Caenorhabditis elegans: one gene and its partner. The gene in region 2 interacts genetically with the main gene of each other region. Each region holds a gene or a part of one and is shown on either strand. Other genes may lie near its edges.

What was found.
Region 1: of adr-2 (region 2) and adr-1, changing one enhances a phenotype caused by changing the other (phenotypic enhancement), as found in Caenorhabditis elegans (one study listed by BioGRID).

What each region holds. Positions count from the first base shown.
Region 1 is NC_003279.8:7,770,509-7,778,543, reverse strand, and holds adr-1 (A-to-I RNA editing regulator adr-1), read right to left. Parts: upstream 5,127-8,035; 5' UTR 5,107-5,126; coding exon 5,032-5,106; intron 4,532-5,031; coding exon 4,463-4,531; intron 4,412-4,462; coding exon 4,274-4,411; coding exon of another isoform or gene 4,253-4,273; intron 4,147-4,252; coding exon 3,949-4,146; intron 3,902-3,948; coding exon 3,801-3,901; intron 3,750-3,800; coding exon 3,503-3,749; intron 3,461-3,502; coding exon 3,392-3,460; intron 3,349-3,391; coding exon 2,811-3,348; intron 2,762-2,810; coding exon 2,500-2,761; intron 2,428-2,499; coding exon 2,158-2,427; intron 2,111-2,157; coding exon 1,784-2,110; intron 1,733-1,783; coding exon 1,213-1,732; coding exon of another isoform or gene 1,156-1,212; coding exon 1,075-1,155; 3' UTR 889-1,074; downstream 1-888. Other genes in the region: nsf-1 (Vesicle-fusing ATPase), read left to right, coding at 6,336-6,386, 6,499-6,562.
Region 2 is NC_003281.10:7,230,018-7,235,283, forward strand, and holds adr-2 (Double-stranded RNA-specific adenosine deaminase adr-2), read right to left. Parts: upstream 2,866-5,266; coding exon 2,456-2,865; intron 2,403-2,455; coding exon 2,063-2,402; intron 2,011-2,062; coding exon 1,777-2,010; intron 1,733-1,776; coding exon 1,403-1,732; intron 1,330-1,402; coding exon 1,156-1,329; 3' UTR 1,022-1,155; downstream 1-1,021. Other genes in the region: R151.10 (uncharacterized protein), read right to left, coding at 167-735, 782-914; ndus-8 (putative NADH dehydrogenase [ubiquinone] iron-sulfur protein 8, mitochondrial), read right to left, coding at 3,185-3,530, 3,751-3,838, 3,912-4,056, 4,105-4,164. UniProt on the Caenorhabditis elegans protein: Catalyzes the hydrolytic deamination of adenosine to inosine in double-stranded RNA (dsRNA) referred to as A-to-I RNA editing. Acts primarily on non-coding regions of protein-coding genes including introns and untranslated regions (UTR).

The DNA of each region.
Region 1 (8,035 bases), on a different chromosome or scaffold from region 2:
AAAACATCTGTGTCGATCTAGCTGCCTGCAAACGCGGCGTTTTCGGTGTGCACATAGCGATCGATATAGAATCACATACACAACCAGGTTTCTGGGAAGATCTCTCTCTCTCCTCCCTCTCCTCTCTCTCTCTCTCTGGGGAGACTATATAGATTGGTGTCGCTCTCCTTTGAGTAGTTGACCACTGTTGTCTGCAAATCTGCCTGTGGGAAGACGTATTATTGAAAAAGCAAAAGAGGTTGCCAGGAAAACGCGATGAGCTTCTTTTGAGAAATACACAACTTCGATGTTAATTTAGAAAATGCAGGAACTTTTAATAGAAAAATAACAACTTTTAAAATGTTACAGCAGGTTTACATTTTTAATGTTCAGGGCAAATTTCAATTCTTAGAGCTGGAAAAATTATTAAAATGGTACAAAATTTTGATAAAGAAATGGTTCAGTTGTTGTGTACATTAAAAATTGTCACAATGAATCACAATGAAGCTGTGAAAATATTTATTTACTTCAAATTTTTTATAGAAATCAAATTTAAATGATATCAACATTATGAAGATTAACATAACCAGTCATTGGGAATGTTTCCATATTATTTGGATGATTTGCAAACGGAGTATCAGAAACATTTCCAAATAGGTTCTTAATTGTTTTCCAAGCTTCCGATTTGCTAACCTCTACCAATTTATTCTCAACTAAATTCTAGAATATCAACTGTCAAAATGTCATTCGAAAAATCCAAAAAGTGTCCTTTATAATGTGAGGAAAGAGACACAGATATCTGCTTCTTTTCACATTTTTCACCGCGAAAGACTTTCGAACATTCACAAATTGGTTTTGGATTTGAATAAATGCAAACTCCACCATTCTCACATGAGACTGTAAACTTGCTTTAACCAATACTTTATAAATTATTTTGGCGTCAGAAAAATTTAAAAAATTAAACAACAAAAGAATACCGCATTAAAGCGGCAATGGCTTGAAGATCATACACTTCAAAGATAGTTAAAAAGAAGGTGCAGAGAGAAAACGAAGATCGAAGAAATGGTGGTAATTAAATTATGAATTATTGAGTAATTAATCGAAAGCAGCAAGAGTGAAGGAGTCAACAAGCTCAGCTGGTTTTGTTTGCCATTTTCCGAGTCCCGCAGCCTCGAGCTGAAAATTAATATTATGAAGAAGAAGACGAAGAAAAGAAGAAAATAAAACACCAACCTTTTCATAGAACACTTTCTTCTCATACTGGTATTCAGACGCCATCTCTTTCGCCTTCGCATAATTCACAACGGCCTGGTCGACTCCGTTCAATTTACGATACGCCTCAAAGATTTCAGCTTTACAAACTCGCGATGGGGATCCCTTTGAAGTGCGTCCAGTATTGTAATCCAGAGTTTCAACAGAATCCACTCCACGGTGCCAGAGATGAGATATGCCCATATGCATTCTCATTTGCACAGGCATACTCTCCACAATGATCTCTCGTTCATTTTCGTTTGGTCCAAGGCGTCCTTGCAAAGCATAACTGAGTGATTCATCAGAGACTGGAGCTTCTGAGCCGAAGAAGATGTTATCAATGAAAATTGGATGAAGAACATTGGAGAGGAGAGCGCCTTGAATTCCCAAAGTGTTCCATTTGAATAGTTTATCCGCAGTGCAATGAACTCGAAGGGACTTCGTTTCCTTAATTTGTTCGTAGGTAAGCACATCGTCTGGTACACATGTCAGATTTGTTGGCCTGAAAATGGTGAAATAGTTTTTGCAGAAACTAAAATTCTATTAAACTCACGTTACATATGACAACTTCTTAGTTGCAGCATCATCGACTGCATGAATGCATGGTGGCGAGTAGTTGGAATAGAGAACAAGCCGGAGATTCGGCTTTAAGGCAGCTTTTCCCTCTTCCTTTTTCTCGAAAATTGAACATTCTGAATCAACGGTGCTAAGTTCATGGATAAATGCCTTCAACATTGCTCTGCGGGCAAGAATAATAGCATCCAAATGAAGTAGAGATGTTCCATTGGCTCCACTGAGAGTATCTGGTTCGACTATATATTGTATAGATGAACCCATTGCAAGAACACGCTTCTCTTCTTGAGCATTGACCAATAGGAAACTGAAAGTTGAATAAATTTCTTTTGAAAATAATGTTTGAAAACTTACGCAGCAAACAAATTGCTGGGAGGTATTTGATAGTATTCAGTCATCTGGTGGTATTCTCTCTTACAAAATTCTGCGATATGTCTGCATAATGGAGAAACCTTTGACTCGGTCATAGCACGACTTGTCAATGCAAGTGGATAGTTGCCGGCTGGATCATAGTCAATTTTGAAAAGCTTCTTCAGAGCTTGCATTGCCGCTTCACTTTTAGCCAGTTTTTTCGAACGACCAACGCCAATGTACCGATCGGTTTCATCGATTACGCATTCACAACTGAAAATTTTCAATTAAAACAGCCTCATAAAATATTTTCAAAAAAGGATTCTGAAATTGTACTTCACTTACTAGAATGTCGTTGTAGCCTGTCCAGCAACTGGAGGTACATTGTCCTTGAATTCATAGGCAATCTTGCACTTCTGTTTCGTCTGCTTGTTGAGCATCGCGTGGAGAAGAGCACACGGTCCCTGACTGCTGACAGCATCTGTTTTCACACAGGAAGATGGATCTATTGCAAAATAGTTTTTTAGTGTTTCTTGCGCGACCCAGTCTTTGGCCATTGCTTTGGAAGCGAGTGATGAGGACTTGACTTCAAATTTCAAATCATTCTCTGAAAAAATTGAAAAACTGTTCTAAATCTGAGATTCTAGTAAAAATACCATTGTGATCAATAATTGTGCATTTTGCCATGAAATATGCTCTTCCGATACCAAGTGGTCTGTCTTCTGCTGGCTCACATTCAATAGTAAGAGTGCAATTTAAAATTGAGCAAATGGTATTGAGACATTGAAGGATTGTCGTATCGTGTCCAAGACGATTACTTGCATGTCTACGGGCAACAGTGGTGATGTCGGCATGTGACACGTTGAACAAGTCACGAAGAGCTTCACGAATGACCATATCTTTCAAAACTCCACGACTTGGTCCCATCTTTGTATATTGTTTATTTTGCTCCACGAATTTCAAAGTGACATTATGCATGGTCTCATTTTTGCGCCAACCACTCTTCTTTTCATTGGCAACGTTTTCTCCATTTGTATCCACTTCTTCTTTTTTGACTTCGACTTCGGGAATCTCTGGATCTTTTGGAACCTCCGAAGCTTCGAAAACTGGTGAATACTTCTCGGCAGACTCAGCAATTATTTTTTGCATTAGATCTAGCAACGAAAGCGCAGATTCAACAGGTGTCAACTGGAGCTTGAGAATTTATAAGTACAGCTTTTGAAAATTTGAATTTTACCTTTGCTTTCTTAACAGCGGAGACCTTTTTCGGTGTCGGTTGATTTGAAATAGCATCAGCCTGAAGCAACTAATATAAAACTTATTAAAACCAATTGTAGTTCGAACGTACATTTCTCTTGTTGTTCTGCCCATTTCCAGAAGCGGCATCGATTTCCTTTTTCACTGGAGCCGCTGCTTTTGCTGCTACACCTTCTTCAAATGGTGTTACATGAACATCCGGACGAAGATCGCGAACAACAAGTTCCGAACATTTTTGTTTCGCTGCTTTCTTGTTGACTGATTCCATTTGAAAAGTGCGTCCGTTTACTTTCAATGTGCAGCAATACTTTTTCGGAACGCCCTCAACCTCAGTGTACCTGAAAAAGTTCAATAATTTGATTGCCTTTCTAATAAATTCAATAACTTACTCTTCAGAAACATCCTTGAACAGCTCATGAAGCAACATCGCTGGGCTTTTCCCAGTCGAATCAAACTTTTTGGGAGCAGCTGGACCCTTGGGCTTATTTTGCTGAAATAAAAACGTTATTGCAATATAAAATAAAAATAATTTCCCACCCTCCAATTTGGTTTGTTTTGGTTGAATGGACCGCCTTTTTGATTGTTAAAAAAACGATTTCCCTGTGGGCCACCCATTTGGTTTTGCGACATTGGTTGCACCCACTCCTGACTCAAAGCGTGCCCTCCGCCAAACGCACCGAAATTGTTGTTACGAATTGCAGATGGTTTTGGAGCACCGCCTTGTTGTCCGTATTTCTGTATCAGTTTCTCACATTAGAAATTCCAAATTGTGATAATTTTTAGAAAACGCTTCTGTTCTTTCAATTAAAAATAAACTATTAGTTTCAACTGGAGCTGTTCTTTAAATTAAAAATAAATATACCTTCTGTGGGAAGGTTTGTGCTCTCTGTTGTTGTTGCATGAATGTTGAAATTGGGTTCATGGCTGCATAAGTATTCTGAGCTTGTTGTTGAGCCTGTTGTTGCTGCTGCTGCTGTTGTTGGCTGACATATTGTGGGAACTGAAAAAAAATAATTGTATTTTCTTCCGAAATTGTTAGTTTTTATCATACCGTGTGGGTAGCCAGCGAGGCAGCGGACTCTGGTTGGCTCCATTGACTTGCCCAGTTGTAATTATTGGTCTGGAAAATTGAAAAATTAATTAAGCAAAATTTTCTAAGCTTTTGAGATAATTCAGCTTAGTGATTTTTTGTATTAGAAAGTTTTTGATATTGTTTTTTAGCTGAAGGATCTCAAACCTTAGGTTTTGCTAATTTGATACGATTTAAGATACAGAAATAAACAATTTTAAGCTAATTTTTGAAAATATCACCGAGAGGATCCAACCCTGGATGATATAAATTTTAATTTATAATAATCATCCAGAAATGCATCTATAACAAAACTTAATTATTGCAAAGTGAGAAAAAGTTCATTTGTATTAGGCAGATGAACTTATTGACACTGTAAACGTCAACAAATGTATTAATTGTCGATGCATACGACAACGCCAAACTATTTGGGGTTCTTCCAATATTTTTAATTGCTTTAAAGCTGGAGTGAATCCTACTTGAGTTTTAATTTGTATTGGATTTCACTCCAACTCTAATCGAGTACCCACAAAAGTTTAGAGTTAACGTACGGAATCGCTGGTGTGATCAGTGCCAGAGCCATAGGCCTGTCCATAACCGAAGTTGTAGTTAGGATTTTGATCCATTTCGTAGTCAAATAAATTACCTGCAGAAAAAATGATGACTAGCAATCGTATGAAGTTTTCGAGAAAAGATTCACACTATTGAAAGTCGTGACATTACCCGGCACAAAAAAACATTTCGAACCGGACAATGAAATTACACGAGAAATAAGAGGGAAGCAGTAAGATCACAGAGTATGCCGCATTGGGAATAATGACAAACTCCACGTTCTTAAGTAGACACAAAATACATTACAATATAGAGGAAATATGCCGAGAGTAGGAAATAAACATACTATTCAGTTGTTCTTTTAAGCAATAGAAGCAACTAAATAGCTAGTTGAAAGACTTCGTGTAGCATTGAGAACAAAAAACACATTCAGAAGAGAAAAGCAAATAATTTTAGGCCCTCTAATTCTAAAAATCCTAGACTAAAAAGGAATGAAAATTATAAAACGTCAAGAACAAAATGGCTTATGACTGAGATATAATGCTCCTCTCAATATGCTATAATTATTGATTAACTGAATTTCCCATAAACTGACATTGCTTTCAATGTTTTGAAACAAAAAGGGCTGTTGCATTGTGAGAATAACACTATTTTTCTATTGAAATTGACAGAAACTAAGCGAATTGTACATTTCAGTGATACATTTACAATTGCGGAACGAAATAATAAGCGAGAACGCAGCAAAAAATGAGCCGAATCGTTGAGCGCGGAACGCGTCGCATTCGAAAAGTCGATAGTTCCATGGAGCGCATTTGCTCTACTGACACGTCACGGAATCTGTGAATAAAGTTTGAAAGAAATGCGTTCAATGCCGAAAACGAAAACTTCGCTCACATTTTAAGTGAGAAAGAATAGCAGCTAAATTGTTATAAATATTCTAAAACATAGTGTTAAAGGATTTTAACTACTTTTCATAATTCTGTTTCGCCCGACTCACACAATTCAAAAATTGAAGTGGTCTCATAATACACGTTTCCCGGATTTTCATGAGTTTTTAAGATTTTATTTGCAATTTAATATTTCTAATCTGCTGTTTTTATCACAAATGCGAAAAATATAAAGTTTCTGATGCTTAAATATTGATTTCGTCAAAATATTTTTTGTAAAACCACATCAGCTGCTAAATAATAAATTCTTTTTATTTTTTTTTTAAAGTTCATATTATTTGTCCAGTTACAATTTATTAGTTGCGAAATTCATATGCAACGTGTCCTTGGACGAGTTTTCAGTCAGACATTTTCTCATGAGTCCAGTCCCGTGTTTAAGCACATGTTGCTGTTTTAGGAAAATCGTGGTAAATAATTGTGTTTCAATGCTCATTATTCGTTTGATCGTTTCTCTTTTAATTCTTTATTTATTGAAGATCAGGACTGTATTTATTCTCTTTCAAAATTGTTAATTTTCAGGAATATTCTACAATGTCGTGGTTTCGGAAATCAGCAAACGACTCACTACTGGAGACAAATCACGGTTTCGTTTTGTTTTATTGGGAACTGTGCTTTCAAACTTTTAACTAACGTTTACTAATAAGTAATATGGATGAACTTGAACTGGAATTTTCTTAAAATCAGGGTTTTATTTGAACATTTAACATTTTTAAATTCGTTAAAATTTTATTCATGACGGTTTGACATGACTTAATTTTTTTCCAGTTCTAGCCACTCCATATTATTTTAATGTTTACTTGCATGAATATTTGAGAAATACCAAAAGTTGCTCATCATTTCTTAGTTTGCTTCTTTCTCCATCATCAAAAAGTCCACCCTTTTCACTTCCTCCCCTCCCATTTTCCGGCTCTTTTTTCACGTATCTCCCCCATCCGTCTGTCCTCTTCTCCAACTCTTCGTGTCTTTTCATGCCCAAAGTCCTACATCGATTTGCGCAGGAAAAAGCCTCCGAGTGCCGAAACAACGTCTTCTTCTTCTTCGTATTTTTCTTGTTTTCAACGCACTGCTCCTCTCGTTCTGCAGTTTTTGTTAGCATCTTCCCCATCTCTTCGTATTTTTTTGCTTCTCATTTCCGTTTTCTCTCCATTTACTTCTTTCGGCCTCTTTTCGGTCCTCCGCTTTTTGTTTTCTGTTTTGATGCCATTATTCCCACGTTATTCTGGAGAACATTTCCATAAACCAAGGAAAGTCATGAATTACTGAAATAATGACAGGATAAGCTGTTTCTTCAGTTTTATCCGAAACAATTCAAACCTTAATACTTTGAAAATTTAATTATTAAATTCAGTGTAATCAAACCCCTGAAATCTGACTCTTTCTCACTTTCGGTATCCTAAAAATGAAAATTGTGTCTGCCCGATTTTTCCTTCGTTTTGTCTGTTATCAGATTATATGTCCCAGCGCGCATGCGTTTTCTAATAGAGTTACATTATTTTTTGTCTAGAGCTTCATGAGAAAAAAACTAAAAATTCTAAAATAAATTTCCTTTCATGTTTCATGCCCATTAATCTAAAAATTACGTTTCGGTCCTTTCCTTTAGAAAAATGGCTCAAAAACCTCCAAATGCATGCTTTTCGCCAAGAAATCGGAGCCGCCACAAACGGCGCGACTTCCACTCAATTTTTCTCCGTTTTCCGAATAATTTTGTGTGCATTTGTGTGTGTCTCGTTGAGGGTGGACGTGTCCATGTATTCGAATTCAATTTTCCTCCTACCATGTTTGTGCTTTCCAATCAGCTCCGTCCACTTTATGGTGTAGCGTTAAATTATAGGATAGAATGGACACTGAGACTTCCTTCCGCAGTTCCTGGGTGAACTTTTTGGAATCTCTTGAGACAATTAACGGTTAAACTTATCTAAGAACGAGTTCGAACATTATCTGGTCTTATTCATCTATGGGTTCTTTTCAGGCCTTTTCTAAAAAACTTAATTTTTTTGTTTTTCTATATTTCGGAAAACCAAAAAAGTCGAAAGCTAATGCGATGCCTCAATTCTCC
Region 2 (5,266 bases):
CAAACACTATCGATCGATGAAAGAGTCAATGTGAAATAAACTGTTGCAAAAATATATTCAAAAAAAAACAACTAGAAATATAAAATGGTTATGTGAATATCACAAAGTACGATCGAATACAGATAGAAGTAAACCATCAGTTTTTTGAAAGAAAAATATGATATATTTAATATGGGGGCAATCCGAAGTCCTCTGGCTTAAACTGTTCCAAACTATTCAAAATCACAGTCACACGATTTTTGAATTCTGGGTCTGAATCGGGGTCGAAAATCGATCGTTCTGGAACCATCACACATTGCATTCCAGCATCGAGTGCCGACAAGACACCATTGTACGAATCTTCAAATACAAGAACTTTGTCCGCCGATTCTGGAACTTGTGGGAATCGTTTCATAGTCACCAAAAATGGATCTGGGTGTGGTTTTCCGTGTTTCACTTCAGGATCATCTCCCGATAAAACTTGCAACTTGATCATGTTCACCCAATCTTTGTGGTTATCCAATTTCGTTGGAAATGTGCGACTACACGATCCAGTACACAATGCAACTGGAACTCCGGTATGAAGAAGGTGACGAACCAGTTTCTCAGCTCCAGGCATCGCAGGACTCCTTTTGAACATTTCGATGAGAAGTTCATCGTATTGACGTGAATACTCTTCCGGTGTCACAAGATCGCCGATTTTCAGTTCGTTGATTAGCCATCGGATCGATTCATCATGGCGTTTTCCCATTTGCCCTGAAATTTATATTAAAATAAAAATATTTCTGATATTTCTTCTCACTTCTCTTCAAATCCATTGTGAAAACGTGTCCATATTTTCTCAAAAGCTCCATATTCGCTTCCGTGTATGCAGATTCTGTGTCGACGAGAAGACCGTCAAAATCGAAAATCACATGGGTCACTGATGCAGGCATCTGGAAATTTCTATAAAAACATATTTATTCCAGTTTTCGTTTCCTTAAATAATATTCAACTCCGAGATAAGTAACTCGAATCACTGAAAATTGTAAGTCCAAAAAATAAAAGATTAACAATTAATTAATGCAGAAATTAAGAGTTAACAGCTAAAATGGAATGAATACACGATGCTGCATGAGATTTTTAAAAGTGGAACCACATTGAACTTTTGATACAATAAAGGTAAAATTGCATTGATTAATTTATAGTAAACATTTGAAATTCTCGTGGCTTTCGTTGCCAAATTCCGAGATCCTTCTGTCGCAGCCAGGTAATGAACGACTTTTTTGCAGCAGCGTATTCTTGAGATCCAGCTTTGAGTTCTTCGTATGAGATTGGATAATCCACAGAAGTCTTTGTCAACGTGCAGATCTGAAATAGAAGGAATTGTTGAGTTTCACACTCAAAACATCAAGAAAATTATTTTTATTTTCCCCCAGCTTACAGTAATCATCAGTTCTGCCATATTTTTTTTACACAATCTGGATGGAGTCGTGATGTCAGCCCCGCTCATATCCTTATCATGAACCATTCCATCCGATGTTCGTACAACTTCTGTATTTCCATCAGCCAAGTTCCAATTCATCGAACTAATCGTGGATCGTGCTGCTGCAGAAGTTGATTGCTCAGTATCTTCCACTTGACACTCTCCGATTTCCACGTCTTGAACATGGAATGGAGCTGGAGGTTTGAAGGTGGCTGCTCTGCTGTAAACTGCTTTACGGAGACGATCTGCATTGTTCAACTCGGCAACGGCGATTGACGAGTAATAGATCTGAAAATCAAGATCTCATGTTATACTAATCAGGTTAAACTAACTGGATCGATGAAATGTGATAATATTGCTCCTTGGACACCCAGTACATTTGCTCGAAGCAATTTATCAGAGCAAGACATTGTCCTCATTCGTTCTCCCATCATGATTCCATCAAATGTTTGTGGAGCTTCAAACTCAGAAGCACCACCGAGCACTGTGCCCATACCTTTATCAATTTTGAATCGAAGACGAGAAGAATTTTGAAGGTCATCTGATGTTCCGGGTTTTAGCTTTTTCTGAAAATAATTCAAATGAAGAATTTACAAAAATTAATACTTGAAAAGTTACATCTATTCTCGCAACTCCACATGGTGCGGTGTTTATGAATAAATGGAAAGAAATTCCTGGCTTCAGCACCAATGCGTTCTTTCCTTTTGTAAAAATTGAATTGGGTGGCTCTGTAGAGAACTTTAGAACTTCGGAATACAAAAATCTCAGAAGGCCTCTTCTTGCGAGAATTTCAGCATGACAATCTATGAGAGCTGTTCCATCGTTTACAATTTTGTCTCCGCGTAATCCCTTGTTTCCAGTGGAGAGAGCAATGATTTGGAGGTTTCCATTGATTTTCAGGAAAACAGAAGCGATCACTTTTTCGAATCCATAGATTAAGGCGTTGTTCTTACAAAGTCTAAAATGATAATAAAAGGGATACATTCACTATGAATTATTTTTTCCACTGACTCATAAAATTTCGCGTATGTATGTTCTCTGAGCATCTCGAAAAATGTGGTTTTCTCCTCAAATTTGACAGCAGGCACAACGTATTCGCTAACATGCTTGAGCACGACTTCCAGTCCTTTCAATGAGCACGACACCTTTGCCTCTTTCTTTTTGGATTTTACATTTCCCTCGATTCGTTCTCCATTTAAAATTACAACACATATAAATTTCATGGATCCGTTCGGTTGGTTTCTGTTATAGAAATCAAAAACTGGAGTGTTGCCTGTCATATGAACATAAAGCTCTGAGAATAATGACATTGGATTCTTTCCGCTTCTTTCCACAGTTTCCTTCACAAAGTCGGGAATATTGTCATCCAAATCCATTTTCTCTGACTTTAACTCAACTTCCATACCTTCTTCGACGGACATCTGAATTACGAATAATTTTTGGAACAAAAAGTCCACATGAGGAAATGTGTAACAGTTTTACCTTGAGATATCGAAAAAACAATAGAGCAACATCGACTAGTGAACGATATTTAAGAAAAACATAGAGAAAACATAAAAGTATATAACATATTTTGTTTTTCATCTACAATTCGGAAGTTATCAGAAAAGGGGAACAAATACTAAAACCTCAAAATTAAAAATAAATCATCTGACAACAGAAAACGGAAAAGCGAAAAAGCTACGAAAAAATCAGGTATTTTAAAATGTTCTCTTCTCATTTCCCACAATTCGTATTATCTTAACGATAAAGATATTCGGCTTGAAGATTGGAAGCGAGCTCAGGCTCCCAGCGATCACCATTCAACAAGAGCTTCTCCTTATTATAGAGGAGTTCTTCGTGAGTTTCAGTCGAATATTCGAAGTTCGGGCCCTCGACAATTGCATCGACTGGGCAAGCTTCCTGGCATAATCCACAATAGATGCACTTGGTCATATCGATATCGTATCTAGTGGTACGGCGACTTCCGTCAGGTCTTGTTTCGGCCTCGATCGTGATAGCTTGAGCTGGGCAAATGGCTTCGCAAAGCTTGCAAGCAATGCATCTTTCTTCACCAGACGGGTATCGACGAAGAGCGTGTTCTCCTCTAAAATACTGATTTTTTTGTTAATAATTTTTGTTTTTTTTTAAATTAACTAAATAATTAATATTTTTAATTAAAGAATTTTCGAATATGTGTCGTGTGAAGGTGCAAGTTTGTTCAGTTTTTTGAAAACTATTAAAATACAACCAAAATATGCTTATTTTCTTCCAAGCTGATTATAACAAATGCTTTATGATTTAATTTCAATTTTTAATTTCTGTACCTGAATCTTGAACTGAGTGGTCCCTTTTCGAAGGGATAGTTGATAGTAGCTGGCTCCATGAATACGTGACCAAGCATCACTCCGAAACCTGAAAAATTGACATTTTTCCTTCACACAGTATACTTCAAAATAATTTTGATTCAAATTTAGTTTAAAATTACCTCTGAAAAGTTCGGTGAAGAAAACATTGTGAAGCCCGTAATTCAAATCTCCAGCCAGTGTTCCATCGGTTTCATTGGGCATACCAACGAATTTGTAGTTGGATCTCTTTTGAATTGTGTTGGAAGGAACACTGCTGACGGCAAGCTAAATAATTGATTATTTGAAACGTATATTTGAATGAGAAAATCTCACTTGAGCCGGAATTCTTCCAAACATGCCTTTTGTGAGCACTGCCACACTTTTCATCGCCATTTTGACAGCGTGGTTAAGTTACTGAAAAACGTATTATTGATAGACTACATTTAATTTAATTGGAATGAAGTGTTTATAATAGAAAAACATTGATAAATATAAAATTGAACACGAAAAAATATTAAAAAAGCGAGAAAGACGCAAACATGTCCTGCAGGTGCACGAGAAACGCGCCAACGATGAACCAAGGGCGCAACTTCTGCGTTCCAACAAAGTTTAATTCCCAAATATCTATTTAAATACTTTTAGCCTTTCAATTTATATATTTTATATTGTTATTATGTTTAAATATTTGTCAAATAACATAATTTTATCGTTTAGTGTTTCTAAGCACGCTTATTGTCACAATAATTTTACTTTAATGCTTTGTTTCTTGAGAAATTAGGAAAACTGTTCTCAAGTTTGCTTCCGAATATTTGTTTCTCAATTTACTTCTCATAAATATATATTCTCGGGTCGCTGCGCTCCCCCGAGAAAAGGTTTTCCCTTGTTCCTAGCTCCGTTCGAGAGAAATGAGGTACGAGAAAAGGAGGAAATTGAGTTACAGAATTTATGGGCTTTGCGTGTGGTACAGGTCGTGACAAAAGTAGAAAATTAGGGGCAGTTGGGCGCCAGGCGCCCAACTTGAACGATATGAGGGCCACGAACGGTATAAATTGGGGAAATTTAATGTGCTGACGCCGTCGTGAAGAGCCCGATCGTTCGATGTTGCCGACATGATGTTGACTGTGCAGGAGCTGCTGGTGTTGCTGATGGAGCCGACTGTGCTGAAGTACGTGCTGCAAAAACGAAAAAGGACGGACCGAAAGTACTTATTATTGGTTAAGGTGGCAAAAGAGGTAAAATGGTAAACCAACGTGAATCGATAATCCTGGCAACTCCTGTAGATCTGATACTTGAAGCTCGTCTGCTGCCCAAACAAGGATCGTCGCTTCTCAACCCTCTGTTTTCGCGTTCCACCCACGTGCGAACAATCCGAAATTTCCCTAAATCCTTGACAAGAGCCCGCGAGATCTTTCACTGCCGCTCTCCGTTATGTCTCCTGAATACCTAAAAATGGCGAACTGATCTGAAAACAAATTATGTTAATTAGGATAGTTTA